5 linked regions of the Xenopus tropicalis genome follow. The protein of the gene in region 5 interacts with the protein of the main gene of each other region in a biochemical or structural test. Links are inferred from orthologs where the notes say so. Each region holds a gene or a part of one and is shown on either strand. Other genes may lie near its edges. The genes, in order: ranbp1, abl1, ranbp3, adar and xpo1.

The links.
Region 1: the proteins of xpo1 (region 5) and ranbp1 form a complex in vitro, tested with the Homo sapiens proteins (3 studies listed by BioGRID, with this or other methods). The link is inferred for Xenopus tropicalis from reciprocal best matches to the Homo sapiens genes XPO1 and RANBP1.
Region 2: the proteins of xpo1 (region 5) and abl1 interact in a test that uses a peptide from one of them, tested with the Homo sapiens proteins (2 studies listed by BioGRID). The link is inferred for Xenopus tropicalis from reciprocal best matches to the Homo sapiens genes XPO1 and ABL1.
Region 3: the proteins of xpo1 (region 5) and ranbp3 form a complex in vitro, tested with the Homo sapiens proteins (2 studies listed by BioGRID). The link is inferred for Xenopus tropicalis from reciprocal best matches to the Homo sapiens genes XPO1 and RANBP3.
Region 4: the proteins of xpo1 (region 5) and adar form a complex in vitro, tested with the Homo sapiens proteins (2 studies listed by BioGRID, with this or other methods). The link is inferred for Xenopus tropicalis from reciprocal best matches to the Homo sapiens genes XPO1 and ADAR.

What each region holds. Positions count from the first base shown.
Region 1 is NC_030677.2:155,381,467-155,384,237, reverse strand, and holds the end of ranbp1 (ran-specific GTPase-activating protein), read right to left. Parts: intron 2,731-2,771; exon of another isoform or gene 2,599-2,730; intron 1,504-2,598; coding exon 1,379-1,503; 3' UTR 520-1,378; downstream 1-519. UniProt on the Homo sapiens protein: Plays a role in RAN-dependent nucleocytoplasmic transport. Alleviates the TNPO1-dependent inhibition of RAN GTPase activity and mediates the dissociation of RAN from proteins involved in transport into the nucleus.
Region 2 is NC_030684.2:12,824,041-12,828,039, reverse strand, and holds the start of abl1 (tyrosine-protein kinase ABL1), read left to right. Parts: upstream 1-1,188; 5' UTR 1,189-1,589; coding exon 1,590-1,749; intron 1,750-3,999. UniProt on the Homo sapiens protein: Non-receptor tyrosine-protein kinase that plays a role in many key processes linked to cell growth and survival such as cytoskeleton remodeling in response to extracellular stimuli, cell motility and adhesion, receptor endocytosis, autophagy, DNA damage response and apoptosis.
Region 3 is NC_030677.2:101,757,079-101,759,617, forward strand, and holds the end of ranbp3 (ran-binding protein 3), read right to left. Parts: intron 2,155-2,539; coding exon 1,968-2,154; intron 1,467-1,967; coding exon 1,423-1,466; 3' UTR 520-1,422; downstream 1-519. UniProt on the Homo sapiens protein: Acts as a cofactor for XPO1/CRM1-mediated nuclear export, perhaps as export complex scaffolding protein. Bound to XPO1/CRM1, stabilizes the XPO1/CRM1-cargo interaction. In the absence of Ran-bound GTP prevents binding of XPO1/CRM1 to the nuclear pore complex.
Region 4 is NC_030684.2:142,279,563-142,283,084, reverse strand, and holds part of adar (double-stranded RNA-specific adenosine deaminase), read right to left. Parts: coding exon 3,382-3,522; intron 2,252-3,381; coding exon 1,999-2,251; intron 1,879-1,998; coding exon 1,745-1,878; intron 1-1,744. UniProt on the Homo sapiens protein: Catalyzes the hydrolytic deamination of adenosine to inosine in double-stranded RNA (dsRNA) referred to as A-to-I RNA editing.
Region 5 is NC_030681.2:33,568,535-33,572,056, reverse strand, and holds part of xpo1 (exportin-1), read right to left. Parts: intron 2,208-3,522; coding exon 2,026-2,207; intron 1,425-2,025; coding exon 1,376-1,424; intron 137-1,375; coding exon 17-136; intron 1-16. UniProt on the Homo sapiens protein: Mediates the nuclear export of cellular proteins (cargos) bearing a leucine-rich nuclear export signal (NES) and of RNAs.

The sequences.
Region 1 (2,771 bases), on a different chromosome or scaffold from region 5:
TAACTTGCAGTCAGTGCCCCACTAACCCTAGCAAACCAAGGTGTTTAAATTCCACATTGAAGTGTAGAACACACACCACTACCTTACTTGTAAAGTATGACGACATTTATACAGGCCTGTCATTACTGAAATACAGTGCCACGGGAACCTAAGGCTGCAACTTATGAACATTTGAACAGCGACCATAAAATCTGCAGTTAAATAATCCTACTCTTGTGCTTTTACCTTTCTGAACTAGGATAGTGCCAATTATAAAAATGTTGTAAACCATAAGGAAATTGTAAGATTGCTATTTAATTAGAATGCAGACAGCAAAGCATGAGCTGGAACAGATTTCTAAGCAATGGCAGAATACAAATATAAAGTAGCACATACACTGGCAATGCAAGATGGTTTTTTTTTTTTTAAATATTGACATACTTTGGAGTGCAGATTTTTATCAATGGATGCAAATGTGTCTTTTAGCAGCACTTTAATGTCTTTTAAAAAATGGTGCGTGAAAAGTAAAAGGCACAAAACTGACTAGTCAGCCCCTTTATTAATACAATTCTTTACAAATCCTGTATGCCCATACCCATACAGGGGTGCTCTGTAACAGACTACTTACACATTTCTCCAAAAGAAAACAACTTGTGTCATTTAGATTTAAGACTCAGCACAGCAAATCCTGCAGGCATTGCATTCTATATGTAATGGTAATTTAAATGTAAGCAATACAGTACAGTAGAAGGGTTAGTGGAAGAGATCTGTAAGCTAAGCTAACACATGCATCTTTTCCCCCCAAGTGTAGAGAAAGAACATGTGGCACAAGACAACCTAGTCTTTGGTAATCCAATGCTAACCGATGCTTCACAACATTTTGTGGAAAGGATGTATGAGAGTAAATCAGATTAAGGCTGGGGCCCTATAAATCATTAATTTCTGCTGGCATTCATGGAAAACAAAATGTATCAGTCATCAGCTGAAATTTATTCTTCAGTTAAAGTCATACTACCAAGGGCAAAAAAAAACACACCATTCATCCAATCAAACCTTCCTGAAGTTATGCAGTGTTGATTGAGATTACATATCCTTGTTTTCAGCCCCAAGACTGCCACTGCTGAAACATTTCATTTATACATAACAATTGGAGATTAAAGTCCCATTCTTTGAACTTTTTTTTTTTCAAACTGGCTTTATTCAATAGTATGGATGACTATAAATAAGTGTTTCCACTATGGAAAAAGAAAGTGAACAGTACATTTTCATGACCGGGGAATGGATTTTTTTCTTCTTAAGGGCAAAAGCTTAGAAAAACAACCTGAATGTTTAAACTCAGTTCTTTTTACTTTGTTATAAAGTCCCTTGTAAAAATAAAAGGTACAAGGCTCTGGATGATTTATTGCTTTTCCTCTGCTTTATCCTGCTTGGCATCTTCTTGCTTGTCCTGCACTTTTGCCTCCTTTACAGACAGCTCTTCTAGTTTTTCTGCCACTTTGTCGGCACTATCATTTTTGGTTGTATCTGATAAAAAAAAAAAAAAAAACTGGTTTCAACAAACACTGACAATTTCATATACAGTTACCCTTAATACACAGCATCCCCTTTCAAAATTGTGGAGAAAATCATTCATTCCACATATCCCCCAGACTCCTCAGTTTAGTTGCGGTTAGTGCTACAACTTAGAAGACTATTTTTTGTATGATGCGGGTGCACAATGTTATTGTGTTACAGGTTGTATGTATAGAATGATGCACCAAACATTTGTAAACATTCATGAGATATTTTATCATGATTTAATATGTGTTAATAAGTAGAAATTTAGTGTGTGCACGCAGCCTTTGGTAAGCTTAGAAAGGCAAAAAAGCCATGTTCAAGTAGTTTGCAATGAAGATACTTAACAAGACACTCTTTGCTAGTTTGGTTAAATAGCAGCATATATAAGGCTATATTCAAGCAATCATGACACTGGTTCTGCATTGTTTACCTCTTGAATTCACATTTTTGCAACCAAACATGTAGTCACTGCCTTACAAGACCCTGAAACCATTCAATTATCTAATTCACTGTAAAATAATTAGACTGGCAAAGGGTAAGGATTATTTTAACGTCACCAACTTGATCAGTATTAAACACCCAAGATGTGTATTTCTTCTGCAAATGGTAATGTGTTTCAGAAAAAGTATTACAGAGGAAGGGGAGTTTCACTTCAACTACTCCCACTGCCAAGACAGTCTTTACTCAGTTAACAATAGGTTTCATATTGGGCCCAGCGGGGCTCAAAATGTTGTCTGAATATTAGAATATGGGCTAAATAAATTATGTTTTTTCAAAGATCAGTGTTGTTCGATATTTTTGCTGGAATATATCGACCCTCATACAAGGTAGGGAAGGGTCTTTTCAGTACAAGCAGCTCAGACCTACCTAGAATCACCTACAGTGGGCTGAGCTCATCAGTCTTATATATTGCATGGTTAAGTAATGTTATCAGCACAACAGTACACTTTAGGTCTTGAACAATTATAATTACCTTTTCTTTTAAAAAAGCTTTAGCTGTATTAGTAAAATTCCTGAACAAAAAAAACAAGGCCTAAGAGTAATCACAGCATATTGGTTCAGATAACTATCCCATGATCTACAAGTAGCATTTCTTAAAAACTAAGAAAGCTTTGATGTTGATCTTGCAGTTTATTTTGCAGACTTAAAAAGCACCAAAACTGGAGGCTGCAGTTAGGTACAGAGTGAGTCTGCAGTTAGGTACAGTGTGAGTCTGCAATACTTACACTGACAAT
Region 2 (3,999 bases), on a different chromosome or scaffold from region 5:
CACAGGAAAATATCAGTTTATCAACCATTCTAAATTAGTTACAATAGAGATATATCACACCCAAATCTAACCCCTAGTGACCTTCAGGCTGGGCTTTTGAATGACCATCCCTGCCGTAACTGATCAAGGTAACCCACCTCCTACTGCTCCTGTGCCTAGAAGAATGCATTGGCTGGCATATAGATTATTTCGGATTTGGCTGGAGAATGTTCCTGAAACTCATAAGTTCCATAGTTCATTAATATATGAATGAGAATTCCTCATTGTTCTGCTGTAAACTGTGTGTGTAAGCTTTCTTCTGCTTGAGATTCCATTATCTCACCTCTCTAATAGGGAAGGTAGTACAGCATATATACCCGCCACAAGGAAAGATGGTTACTCAGGCCTTGCTGAGCAGATTAGGACTTTGCAGTCCAAATCCTGGTTGGGTAGCCTGCTCTAGTGAGCAAGTATTCTTGCTCTCCCACCTCCAATGGTAATGCTATTTAGTTGCCCTTAACTGGTTGATCTGCCTCCGGATTCATGTCACTTTCGGCCCACGGTGACATCACTTCCGGTTTTCCTGGGTTACAGGGTTGGAAGGTAATTTAACTCATTGTGGATAGGTTTGGGTTGCAGGTCTGGGAAGGGGGTATAGCAGGGTGGGGGGGGTACAGACCCATGCAGGTATCTACCTGGCTTAGTCCTAGATCTGCTGAAGACCAGGATGGGTTTTAGGAGGATACTAAATGTATTGCAGAACCAGATATATCTATAATGCTGCCAGCCAGGGCACTACAGGAGGCAGGCGTTTTTTATCATTAAAAACTTGGAACGATCTGGATCTATTAGCAATATTATCTCTCAAGGGCCACCATACAAAATGCATGGAAATCACCTTATTAGTAATCATTATTCCAGTTCAGCCCAAATATCCCCTTATCGTTTTCTGTGTGCAAATAGCTATTGTACTCAGTGCTGTGCACAGTATCCCCCTGTATATCTTATGCAGAGATGGGGGGAGTCTGAGGTCCCCATAACCAGAGCCATCAATCAGAGCTGAATTACAAGTCTCCCCACTAACTTTCAGCCTGGGATATTGGGAGAGAGTTCGTCAGGCTGGAGGGCTGAGCATCCAGGACAGGGTTAACAATGCTCTGTGCATATGTAGGCGTTGCCAGACCTCGGATGTCATCACTAGAGGCAGCCAGAGCATGAAGGGGGCCCTTTGTTGGCAGTCTAACGTAAGCAGCTCTCCCTGCCTAACACAGCCTGCCTAATGGACTGAGAGAATGAGCAGCGGAGGAGTCCCACCGTTCTGCAAGAACTTAGCCTGAAGAGTACCCAAGTTACACTTTTCTGCCTCCGGGACCCCCCCTCCTATAAAAATGGGTGAGATTGACCCCCAGGGGTCGGTGGCGTGAATCCCTGCCACCCAAAGCATCAGAGAGCCTCTCCGAGCCGGGGGCCTTGGGCTTCTTTGCTTCTCTTTGGCTTTTGCTGCTTTCCAGTTCCATAAAGGAGGGGAGTGAACCACAGCCCAAGTGCGTCAAACAGACTTGGAATCGACCAGGGCCAAGTGGCCTGACCCGAGCTGGTCTTCTCCTCGCATGCTGGAGGGTGGGGAAGGGAAGAAAAAGTGCAGGAGGCAGCAGAAGGGAGCGGGCGCATCCTGCATGCAACACATGAAAATGTTGGAAATCTGCTTGAAGTTGGTGGGTTGCAAATCCAAGAAAGGGCTCTCCTCGTCCTCCAGCTGCTATCTCGAAGGTGAGATAAGGGGGTGTCAGTGGGGAAAAGGGGTTGGGCGGAGGCAGAAAGGAGGGGGTTCCACTGGCCCAGGATTTGGCCGCAGCCAGCTGGAGTGCTCCAATCTCTAATCCCCTTCTCCTAGGCCTCAGCACAGATTAGATGAAGGCTGCTTCCCCCCTCGCTCCAGGCAAGGATTACATAAACATTCAGGCTTGCCTGGCGCTGGCTAGCTGGGACGGCCTAGCAACAAAGGGGTTAATTAACCCCGTGCAGCTTGTGTCACTACCACTCCCAGCATCCTCAGCTGGCCCAAAGTTCAAAAAACAACCACTCGACCCGATGTTGGGCGTTTTCTGGCCAAAAAAAAATACATTTTTATAGCATTTCCCACATCCTGTCATGCGTTTGCTTAGGAATGGCTGATCATGGGGTTCCTGGAGATGGGGGGTCGATAGGTAGTGCCCCTCGAGGATTGCTGTCATCTGGGGCTGGCACTCCACCTGTGGGAACTAAGTCCCACTGCCAACTTGCCCGCCTTCCCCTCGGCCCCCGCTCCACCGCAAGTTTATTTTTCACTTCTTCTGGTGTCCTCAGGCTGCAGTTTTACTGTTCCACTTGCGTCACGGAAGGAAGAATCCATTCTATAACCCACTCTCTCCCATGGGGGGCAACAGATGGAGTAGCCAAAGGCCTGGAAACCTTCTGTTATACCCACAAAGCCATCGGGTTCTGTTTGTTTATACGTGCGAGTGGCAGCAGCCATATTGTTTGCCTTGTCCAAGGCCACGGTTTCTTGAACTTTTTCTCAGGGGGCCCAAGTTACCATATACAGCTTAGGACCCAATTGAGGGTCCTCACCCATGCATTTACTGTCTCGGGCCTTTGCTCCCTATGGAAAGTGCCCCAGCCTAGGCAAGCAGTGTGGCAGCACCCACTCACGCATCTTAACAAACCTGGGCCCAGTTTGGCCACCCACACATAGGGCCAAATTGGACTGATCCAATCATTGGCCTGGGGGCCTACAGGCCCATCAGATGAGGACCACATTCACACACCAATTTTCTCCTAGGATGGAAACATTAACCCTGCCCAATCGATATCCTGTCCATTCTTGGTCAGATATCATGCAGGCAGACCCCTTGGTGGGGGGCCCCATACACAGGCCAATACATTGCTGACTTTGGCCAAATTGGTCAATTTGGCCAACTTAAATTGATGGTTCACCTTTGCATTAACTTTAAGTATGTTATAGAATGTCCTATTCCTAGCAGCTTTGCAGTTGGTCTTCATTGCTTATATTTTTTTTATAGTTAAATCGATTGCTCTGCGAGGCTGCAATTTATTGTTAATATTACTTTTTATTACTTATCTTTCTATTCAGCCCCTCTACTATTTATATTTCAGTGTCAAATTTAAAACCAGTGCCTGGTTGCTACGGTAAGCAAGACCCTAGCAACCAGATAGCTGCTGAATTACCAAACTGGGAGAGCATCTGAACACAAAGCAAAAAAAATGAAAACCAATTGCAAATTGTCTCAATTACTTCTTGCAGAGCATAATGAGCGAATACAGTTACCGATAGCTTTGTAACCAGTGACCGCGAGGGATGAATTGATATTGAGAAGTTGGTTTGAATTGGATTTTCTGTCATTAGGCAACTTTTTATATTTGGGTTTATATCCCCTTTAAATATGGCAAAGTGCAAGTGGCGCTACCAGTTGCTTTCCCGCACACCCAAGCCCCGCCTCCCCGCAGCCCCAAGCCCCGCCTCCCAGCAACGCTTGACAGAAAGTTTTCTGTTTACTCTCCCTCCGGCGCTTATTGCAAAACATCACTATTTGTCCAATTTCTCCCTTTTTTTTTTGTCTGTGCGAGCGCTTATTATCGGCAGCGGAACCAAATCGCCGTGGCGGGGTCGGCTGCGCATAAACAGGAATATTGTGTTAATCATTTTCATTAACTCGGACGTGATTTCCTTCATTGAAATTATTGGCTTCACTCGAGAGATTTGGCTATTATGTAGGCTCGTTCCATTATTGGCAGAAAGGGGGGGGGGGAGAGAGAGCCTGCTGTTCTCATTAACTATTTCAGCACCCGGGGAGACGGAAATAGTGATTATGGGAATGCCATAGGAATTATTATTAGAGGAGCAGAGAAAGCCATCGCAAAAGGGAGGCCAGAGGTCATTTCACCTGCGCCGCTGAACTGGCGGCTTCATCTGGAAATTATTCTTCTTGTTCCCCCCCAGGCACTCAGAAAGGCAATTAT
Region 3 (2,539 bases), on a different chromosome or scaffold from region 5:
TTTTACAGACTACTGGAAATTGGTGTTTCGCCGATGACTATACACTATCTTTTATAAAAATTTAAAGCTGGACCTTTTGGATATTTATAGGACAAAGCTTTCGAGCATTCTTCAGTAAGAACACCCAAATGAATATTTGTTGTTAATGGTATATTATTGTGTAATGATGTTCTGCATTAGAACTCCCAGTTCATTTAGTTTCTCACCTAACTTATATGTTATGCAGTTTTAGGATAACAGTAAGGGGCATCTTATTCTTTTCAAACCTCTCTCACAATATGCCTAATAAACAAGGTTACCTTTAATGGCTGAACAAGTTAGTACTTTTTGTTCCCAAGGACAATGGGGTACAAAGTAGAAAATACTGGTGTCCTCAAAAGGCATTTGAAAAGCCCTACCAATGTTGTAATACCATGTGTCAGTGTACACCACAGTGGTTCCCTAACCTGCCATGGAAGCGCAAGACACGCAATCAGAGAAGAACAAAAGGAGTGGAAATGAACTAAAGGAAAACAATGATGAGAATACAGAATTCCTTAACTCTTTCCCTTAAATAAGGATACAAAAAAATAACATTTCACTTTTTTAGCACACAAAAAAAAGCATATATGTCAAACTAAAAAAATATCTTGAAGCACAACAGAAAGTTACCCAGAAAAAGGAAAGGAGAAAAACTGGAATATCCCATTTATAACCAATAGGTTTTAAGTCTTAAAGGAGAATGCAATTTGTCCAAGAGTGTTTTTAAAACTGTGTGTAGCTCCAAAGTGTATTCCAATTTGATAAGCCACAGATGGCAGTCATTTAAAGTTTAGAAGTGGAGGGACTTGGGAAAGGTAGGATGGTCCTATACATCTCTCAGAAAATGGGTAGGTCCTGGTCAAGAATCCAAAAATAAAAGCAATGAAGGGCATGAAAAAAATTTATACATATATTTACACACACAGATTTTTTTTGGAGGTTGGGGGGACGCAATAGGAAAAGACTGAGGCAACATTTCATTATATAAAAAGAAAATTACATTTTTGAATGATGGTATTGTCTTTGCTGTCAACTTCAGTTACAAGAGGGTGGTGGGGCAGGTGGAAATTTTCTTTGGCTCATCAATATGATGAGCGGTTATATCCTCAGACATCCAGGCAAAAGCTCTTCATGTATAAGATTGGATGGATTCCACGTGTAACATCTTCAGGGGGAAGAAAAATAAAAATACCTTGATAGGAACCCAAAGTATGTTTATTCTGATTTAACGTGAAAAAAAAAAAAAAAAAAAATAGCAGTTCCAGGGGATGGGTGAGAAGTCTGTGTCCTTAAGCTCTGCCTTGCTTTTAGGAGCTGGTCTTCAATACTCCATAAGGTTAGAAGGGAGCGGTGGACTATCACCCAATGAGGTTAAAGGGGAGCTGTTGTAAGAGGTGGGTGCTATGTACTGGATGCTGGTAGCTTGTCTCCCTCGTCACCGGGTGCTGAAACAAGAGAATAAGTGTGTTATAAGGGGGAAATCCCTTAAAGGGCACCCATTACCCTAAAATTGCTTCCCCCGCCAGAGATGGGGGCTAATAGAGCCCGCTCTCCAGTTAGGGGGGGGGGAAAAAAAAGCCTCCTACATGATTTGGGCAGCCATGTTGTGATACTTGCATGGGCATAACAAGCAAGTGCCACAACTTGCTCATTATACACATGCATGTGAAGGAGGGCAGTTGTGCATAATGAGCAAGTGGGGAGTCTCATTGTGTGCACATGCGCTAAATAACATGGCTGCCTGCACTGGTAGCTCCCAACCGGAGTGTGGGTTCTATTAACCTGCACCTCTGCTGGGGAAAACAAATTTAGGGTGATAGATGTCCTTGAAGGTTACTTTTGATCCAAATAAAACATCAAAATTAAAATTGTGTAATATCTGATTTTGTGATCTAAATGTAAAAAAAAACAAAAACACACTAAATGTCTCTTAAAGAAAATATTACCTCCAACATTTGCCCCTGAGGGGGTGAGGACATCGTCATCATCATCACTGTCCTCTTCAATGGACTGGGCCACTTCCCTAACAGGTTCTGGACACTTTATTTCAGCCTCCTGCTCAACATGACTCCTTAAAGCAAGGATGCGGTGATGTAATGCAGCAAAAAGCTGTCCAGTATCTTTAGAGCTTGCCTGATTGAACAAAAGAAAAACCTGTTAGCCTCTCTGGCAGCTAAATTACAAGTCTATTGTAACATATTAACAAATATAGACTGTTTTTATTACTGGGGTTTCAGCTGCTAGAGAAGCTACTAAAATCAATTACCAGCTATTCGTAAGTGAACTTTTCCTTATCACCAAGCCTAAAAAAGTTGCGACTTCAAGCAGCATTTACTATCTTATGTAAGATGAGGGAATCAATCTTAAATTAGTATTATATAATGAAACAAAATAAGGGATTTTTTTTTTTTAAATAGTATAGGAAGAACACCTTTTAAACACAAAAGCTTACATATTGTGCTCATGAGTGTACAAAGATACTGCTAGATCCAGCAGGCGAAAGGGATACATAATGTTC
Region 4 (3,522 bases), on a different chromosome or scaffold from region 5:
TATGCTTCAGGCATAGGGGCAGGAAATTACTTTCGCTTTCCATTCAGCACTTCAGATAGTGCAGTATAAACAAGATTTTGGAATGATGCAAAGCCGTGATTGTGTACTGGCAAGCCCGAGGGAAACAAGATTTATATAATGAATGTAGTACAGGTATCGGACCACTTATCCGGAAACCCATTATGCAGAAAGTTCCAAATTACCGAAAGCCCATCTCCCAAAGACTCCATTTTAATCAAATAATTCACATATTTAAAAATGGTTTCCTTTTTCTCTGTACTAATAATAAAGTACCTTCTACTTTATCCGAACTAAGATATAATTACCCCTTATTGGGGGCAGAACAGACCTATTGGGTTTATTTCATGGTTAAATGATTCCCTTTTCTCTGTAATAATAAAACAGTACCTGTACTTGATCCCAACTAAGATATAATTACCCCTTATTGGGGGCAGAACAGCCCTATTGGGTTTATTTAATGGTTAAATGATTCCCTTTTCTCTGTAATAATAAAACAGTACCTGTACTTGATCCCAACTAAGATATAATTACCCCTTATTGGGGCAGAACAGCCCTATTGGGTTTATTTAATGGTTAAATGATTCCCTTTTCTCTGTAATAATAAAACAGTACCTGTACTTGATCCCAACTAAGATATAATTACCCCTTATTGGGGGCAGAACAGTCCTATTGGGTTTATTTAATGGTTAAATTATTCCCTTTTCTCTGTAATAATAAAACAATACCTGTACTTGATCCCAACTAAGATATAATTACCCCTTATTGGGGGAAGAACAGTCCTTTTGGGTTTATTTAATGGTTAAATGATTCCCTTTTCTCTGTAATAATAAAACAGTACCTGTACTTGATCCCAACTAAGATATAATTACCCCTTATTGGGGCAGAACAGCCCTATTGGGTTTATTTCATGGTTAAATGATTCCCTTTTCTCTGTAATAATAAAACAGTACCTGTACTTGATCCCAACTAAGATATAATTACCCCTTATTGGGGCAGAACAGCCTTATTGGGTTTATTTAATGGTTAAATGATTCCCTTTTCTCTGTAATAATAAAACAGTACCTGTACTTGATCCCAACTAAGATATAATTACCCCTTATTGGGGGCAGAACAATCCTATTGGGTTTAATTACGGTTTAAATATTTTTTTAGTAGACTTAGGATAGGCAATCCAAATTACGGAAAACCCCAGGTCCCGAGCATTCTGGGTAATGGGTCCCATACCTGTATAGGTAAAGTTTATTTTGTTCAACTAACATGATATAAAAGGATTTGGAATTATTTCTTTAAGGTGATAGGTCCCCTTTAAAGACCAAGTTGGCAGCTTATTTGCCCGTGTATGGGGCCCTCCAACAGGCCTCCCTGACCGATATCTGTCCACGTTGATGGGACAGGCTTGATTTTTTGTCGGATCGTGGACCGCATTGATATAGCCAGACCCAAGGTGGACATATGGGGGGGGGGGGGGGGGGGGGGGGAGATTTGTTCATTTGGTGACCTTGCCAAATGAGCAAATCTTACTGTGTATGGCCACCTTTACTTACACAGCTCCACCTTTACTTACACAGTAAGAAACTTGTTTCTTACTACAGTTATATGGGCTAAACACGAACTTATCCACAACGGCACTGCCAAGACATTTCAGCAGGGTCTTTATGTACCAGTCTGCTAGAGAAGAGCCCCCCCCCCCCGGAGATTCCTGGCAGTTACTGCTGGCACTTACTTCGGGTCATGGGGAGGTCCTTCTTGAGACACGAGCTGGAACTCGCACATACTGCCAGACTTCTGCCCGTGCTCCATGAGAATGCTGATGGGATTTTTGGTGCTGGGGAAAAATGGCTGTGCCGGAACTTTCAGCTGCGGAAGCAAACGGATAAACCTATTTCAGAGAGAGGCACTACTGTGAGAGAAAAGAGCGGTCTGAACCGGACAAACACAACCGGGATAAACACTAATACGAATAGTAATCTTACTTACCGGCAGGGTTTGTAATGGCACAAATGTCTGAATGGTGTGAAGGCCCCCGGCACCCCCACGTGAAGCACCCACCTCTTCTTTAACGTCTGGAAGTTGTGCGCCCTCTGCCATGACCTCCTCTTCCGTCCCGCCCTGCTCCTCGCGCAGGAGTATACGGAGAGCCAGAGCCGCTGCATCTTTTTTGGCCGTCTTTTTGCTGCTGGCTTCCGCCACCGGGAAACTGCGCCCGTCGATCACTGCCTGGATTTTGAACCTACGGCAAGGGGGACAGAGAAGCAATTGGATTTTGGCAGGGTGCGGTGTAAGGCAATAAACTGAAACGTGAGGCCCTCAGGATGGAAAAAAAAAAGAATGGGGTGTATGAAGTTAGGGCCATTTGGCCCTAGCAACCAGATAGCTGCTGAAACGCCAAAGTAGAGAGCTGCAGAACAAAAAGTAAAATAACTAAAAAAATGACAGCATGAAGACCAACTGCAGATTGTCTTAGGGTGCCCATACACGTTAGGATTTGGTGATCTTGCCAAGCAAGCGGATCTTCACCCGATATCCCCACCTAAAGGTGGGCGATATCGGGGAGCGTGTAGGCTAATTCGATCGTTTGGCCAATTATATTGGCGGCAATGGGGGCAGTCAGTTCGGGGACAGCACCAACGAGCCGTTGTGGTCCCCGATCCGACTAGATTTTCTAACCTGCCCAATCGAGATCTGCCCGATTTGAGACCAGATATCAGTTGGGCAGGCCTGTCGGTAGGCCCCATACACTGGCCGATTAGCTGCCGAATCTTTCTAAGGGACCCATATCAGCAGCTACAATCGGCCCGTGTATGGCCACCTTTAGAATAGCACTCTTTTCGCCATGCTAAAGGTTTACTCAAAGATGAAAAACCCCTTTAAGCAACACCTTGAGATCTGCTTCACTGGCAAGGTCAAGCAAGTGGACAAATGCCAGGTCAGAGTGTTGGCCAGTAAACCAATGCCCAGATTATATAGCAAGCCTATGGATTTTTAAACCTGCCCAATAAATACCGATCAGACCATTGGGAGGCCACCATATAGGGGCCAATAACCTCCTGATGCAGTGGAGGGGCCAAACCAGCAGCCCATGTTATAGCCAGCTTAACCCTTGATGTAATGGGCCAGTGGGCTATTACAGTTACTGTTTCAGGCATCATTCACTGACATGTTTCTTGCAGCTTCTCAGTGAATGAGTGTGCTCTATTTGCCAATGGGAAATGCCCAAATGAAGTGACCAATAAACAGAGCCTGAAATGATGAAATCACTGAAAATATATGGGGCTCAAACCTTATTACCCCTCTCCTTTTTTTAAAAAGAAACCTCTTGCTAAAATGTACCCTGGGGATTTGAGTGATGATTAACCTTACCGGGGGTCATGGGAGGGCCCGCTCTGGTTGAGGAGGACAAAGTCACAATGCTGGGAGCAGTAGTGGGTAAACTCCAGGAGGCCACTCACGGGGTTCTTCTCTCGGCACGCCAGCAGCTTCTCTAGCCGGTTGAATTCTTTG
Region 5 (3,522 bases):
TATAAATGAACTGCACCTTATATATGAGCGTGCTGATGAGTTTGGTTTCAAAGATATATCCTAGAGGAATCCAGTTAAGAAATCGAAGGAGCGTTTCCAGAGTAGCATGAACAAGTGGAGCATTTTGTGAATTTTCCTAAAAATTTTTAAAATATTGAATTAGCATAGATTAGTACTAGTACAAGATGCATTGCCTGTTCTTACAATTAAGCATAAAAAGGTTTTATATTTGAATACCAGTTTCTAACTGTATATTATAAAGAAAAGTGTACACTATGGATATATTAGGGGTCAGTAACAAGTGCAAGAGCATTTGCAGGGCTGCAAGTTTATCTGCATCAGTCGCATAAAAAAAAAAATTAATATCAACTTTCAAGTTTGGAAAATTGAGTTTGTTTTTCTAAATCAAACAAACTCCTATATTGAATGCTCATTTATTTATTTATTAATAAGGAAAACACTTGAATACCTCAAATTTTTTCGAATTTACAAACTCAAAGAACTCAAGTTTGAATATGTAGTTTGACTTGCCTAGGACTTCCACTGACTTCTATAGAATCTCACAAGCTTTTAGATGGCAAATTTTTGCATTTGAGTTTTTGGGTATTTTGCACTTAATACCAGATATTCAAGATCTTGAAACATAATTTGAGTTCAAGTTTAAGAGCAAAAAAACTTGAATGTTGATAAATCTCCCCCTAAATGTACTGGCGTCAACCATGTTCTAGCACAGGGGTGGCCAATATGTCGTTCTCATGTGGATTTCTGGTGGGCCGCAATGAAGCCGGGGATGCGGAAGTGCTGCGTGAATGCATACGTATGCTGCGTCACGTATGTACTCATTCACGCCGCACTTCCGCATTCCCCGGTCATCAGTTGATCGGCGATGAGAAAGGTCTGGCCACCCCTATTCTAGCATGTTGTTATACTTGGCACCACTGAATGCCTCCTTTTGCCAGGCCACTTTAGGACGCCTGGCACTACTGCCACCTCTGAACCAGGCAGTAGTTCCAGTGCTCACAATGGCCTGCATCAACTGTTGAAGCAAGACTCAGCAGAACACATCACTCTCATCTCAGAGATTATTCCAACTGAAGCGTAAGCACTAATTTAGACACACTGCCTGCAATCGCTTCAGACGCATTTCCCCTGGCAACCACAATTACATTGGAATTATGTGAAAATGTTGCACTGTGGGTAAAAAAAAACACATTGTGTTGGAAATTTGTACTTTGCAAACTCAGAAAAATTAAACCCTTCTAACTACCCAAAATAGAAACCTCATTGTGACAATGCTAGTGCTAGAGACTATTTGCTGAAATGTTAACAAAATTTTTATTGTGGCAAAAACAGAGCAGCAACTGCTGTAACTTACCATTACAAACTGACACAGCTGAAATATCTGGGAGAACTCATTGCACATACTGCAAAGGGAAAGGAGCTTTCAGTTATTTATCAGCAGAGAACAGAATATAAAAACATAGAATAGAATATGTAATATATTTGTATACTTTGAGCCACATTTATAGAAATCACCTTCAAAAGGCCCAAGAGAAATATTTTAGAAAAGGATACTAACATTTTTAAAACTCATTGCTAAATCATCCCCACAGCTAGGGTTCCAGAGGGCCTTATTTTTAAGGTGCAGCTGCTATGATATACCATCTCACTTAGGAATTATTCATATACAATATTAAGTCATATTAAATAAAAAATTGTAGTGTTTTACTTAGGACATCTCAGGAAAGTAACAATTTAGTGGGTCAAAGACATATGTATGGTTAGTCATGCGAAGACGTGCAGGCATACCTAACCAACACAACCTCTATGGCAGGGTCCTAATTTCCCATTTTTGATGAGAAAGGTTTCCTTAGCTTTTTAGCACTAAAACATAGCACAATCGCACTCGGTTAAGACCAGGGTCTCTAACTGTCGCAGAATGCTAAATATGTATAGCCAGTATATTTACAAAACAAAGTATACACGAGCAGAAAGAAAGCAAGGGTGCAAGGTTATTAAACAAACCTGTCTTTCAGGTGTTTGGCTTTCACTTGTGTTATCTGACCACTGGAAAAATCAAAAACTTCTTCACTTAACAGTTTCAGAATGACCATGTTGTTCTGACAAAGGCTTTCACTGGTTCTGCTTGCTCCCACAATATCACTGATAAACGTGGGCCAATGTTTAGGCCATTCCTGTTTTAATATCTAAAAATGAAAAAACAGTTGAAAAATTACATTGATGTACCTGAATGGAAGGTTTATTCACTATATAATACACAAGAGGAAAAACCTCTAAAATTACCTTGTAAATGGTGCTTAGTGATGTGATTTTTGGTGATCTGGAATGTTGTGTACATCATATGACATACAGAAACATGATTTAAACAATTAACTATTAAAAAAAAAAACAAAAAAAAAAAAACAAAAAACCCTTAAAGAAAGAAATTCCCCCATGCCCAGTAAAAAGCACTATGCATGAGGTCTCTTGTATTTATATGGTAGTGATGAGCCACTTTGACTCCTATTAGTGTTATATTTTATCAAGGGCAGGGAGCTGGGTCACATTCCATATATCAACTTTTAAAGGAGAAGGAAAGGCAAAGTCACTTGGGGGTACCAAAATGTTAGGCACCCCCAAGTGACTTGAATCGCCTACCTTTTACCCCGGGCTGGTGCCCCTGTACGGAGAGAACAGCACCAGCCCGGGGTACCTGCAGCGCTTACTCCTTCCTGCTTTGCGAGCGTGCGCATGTGCAGTAGAGTGAAAAGCCGAACTTTAACAGAGAAGTCGGCTTTTCACTTTACTGCGCATGCGCCTATGTGTTAGTCTTAGTGAAACGCAGGCAGAAGGAGGAAGCGCATCGCTCCAGGTACCCCGGGCTGGAGCTGTTTTCTCCTAATAGGGGCACCAGCCCGGAGTACAAGGTAAGCGATTAAAGTCACTTGGGGGTGCCTAACATTTTAGCACCCCCAAGTGACTTAGCCTTTCCTTCTCCTTTAAAACGAATGTCTTGGCTATTTTTTCTGAGGGTTACAGTTTCCTTCAGGTGTTATAATAACACATTTTAAATAGTATATCTAAAAAGTAAACTTTTCCAGTTCATTAATAAATCCAGCCAGTGAGCAGCAGTAAGCCTTGTCTAAGTTCCATGGAGCTTATTAAAACGAAATGTTAGGGTCAATTTGTTTTTCTTCTAATAATTTCTCTGTAGCTAAAAAGATTCCATAGAGATTTTAAGTTTAATGTGATAAATGTGTGGCTCTACAAAGTGTACTGATGTATACAGTAGTAGTACTTACTGGTTTTACACTGACTTTTAGCTAATGCACAAAAATCACCTCTCCTTGTTTATATCTTTAAAGATCCTTCCCAACTTTTAGTCTTATGACACAAGACATGTTTGCTGCTGCTGTGAAGCAACTGTCATTGCTGATGTTGTGAAATGGAATGTCACAGAACTCTCATTTGAGCTTTTTATAAGCAGAGGTCCACGTGTCACAGATCAGCCAGGGTACTTTC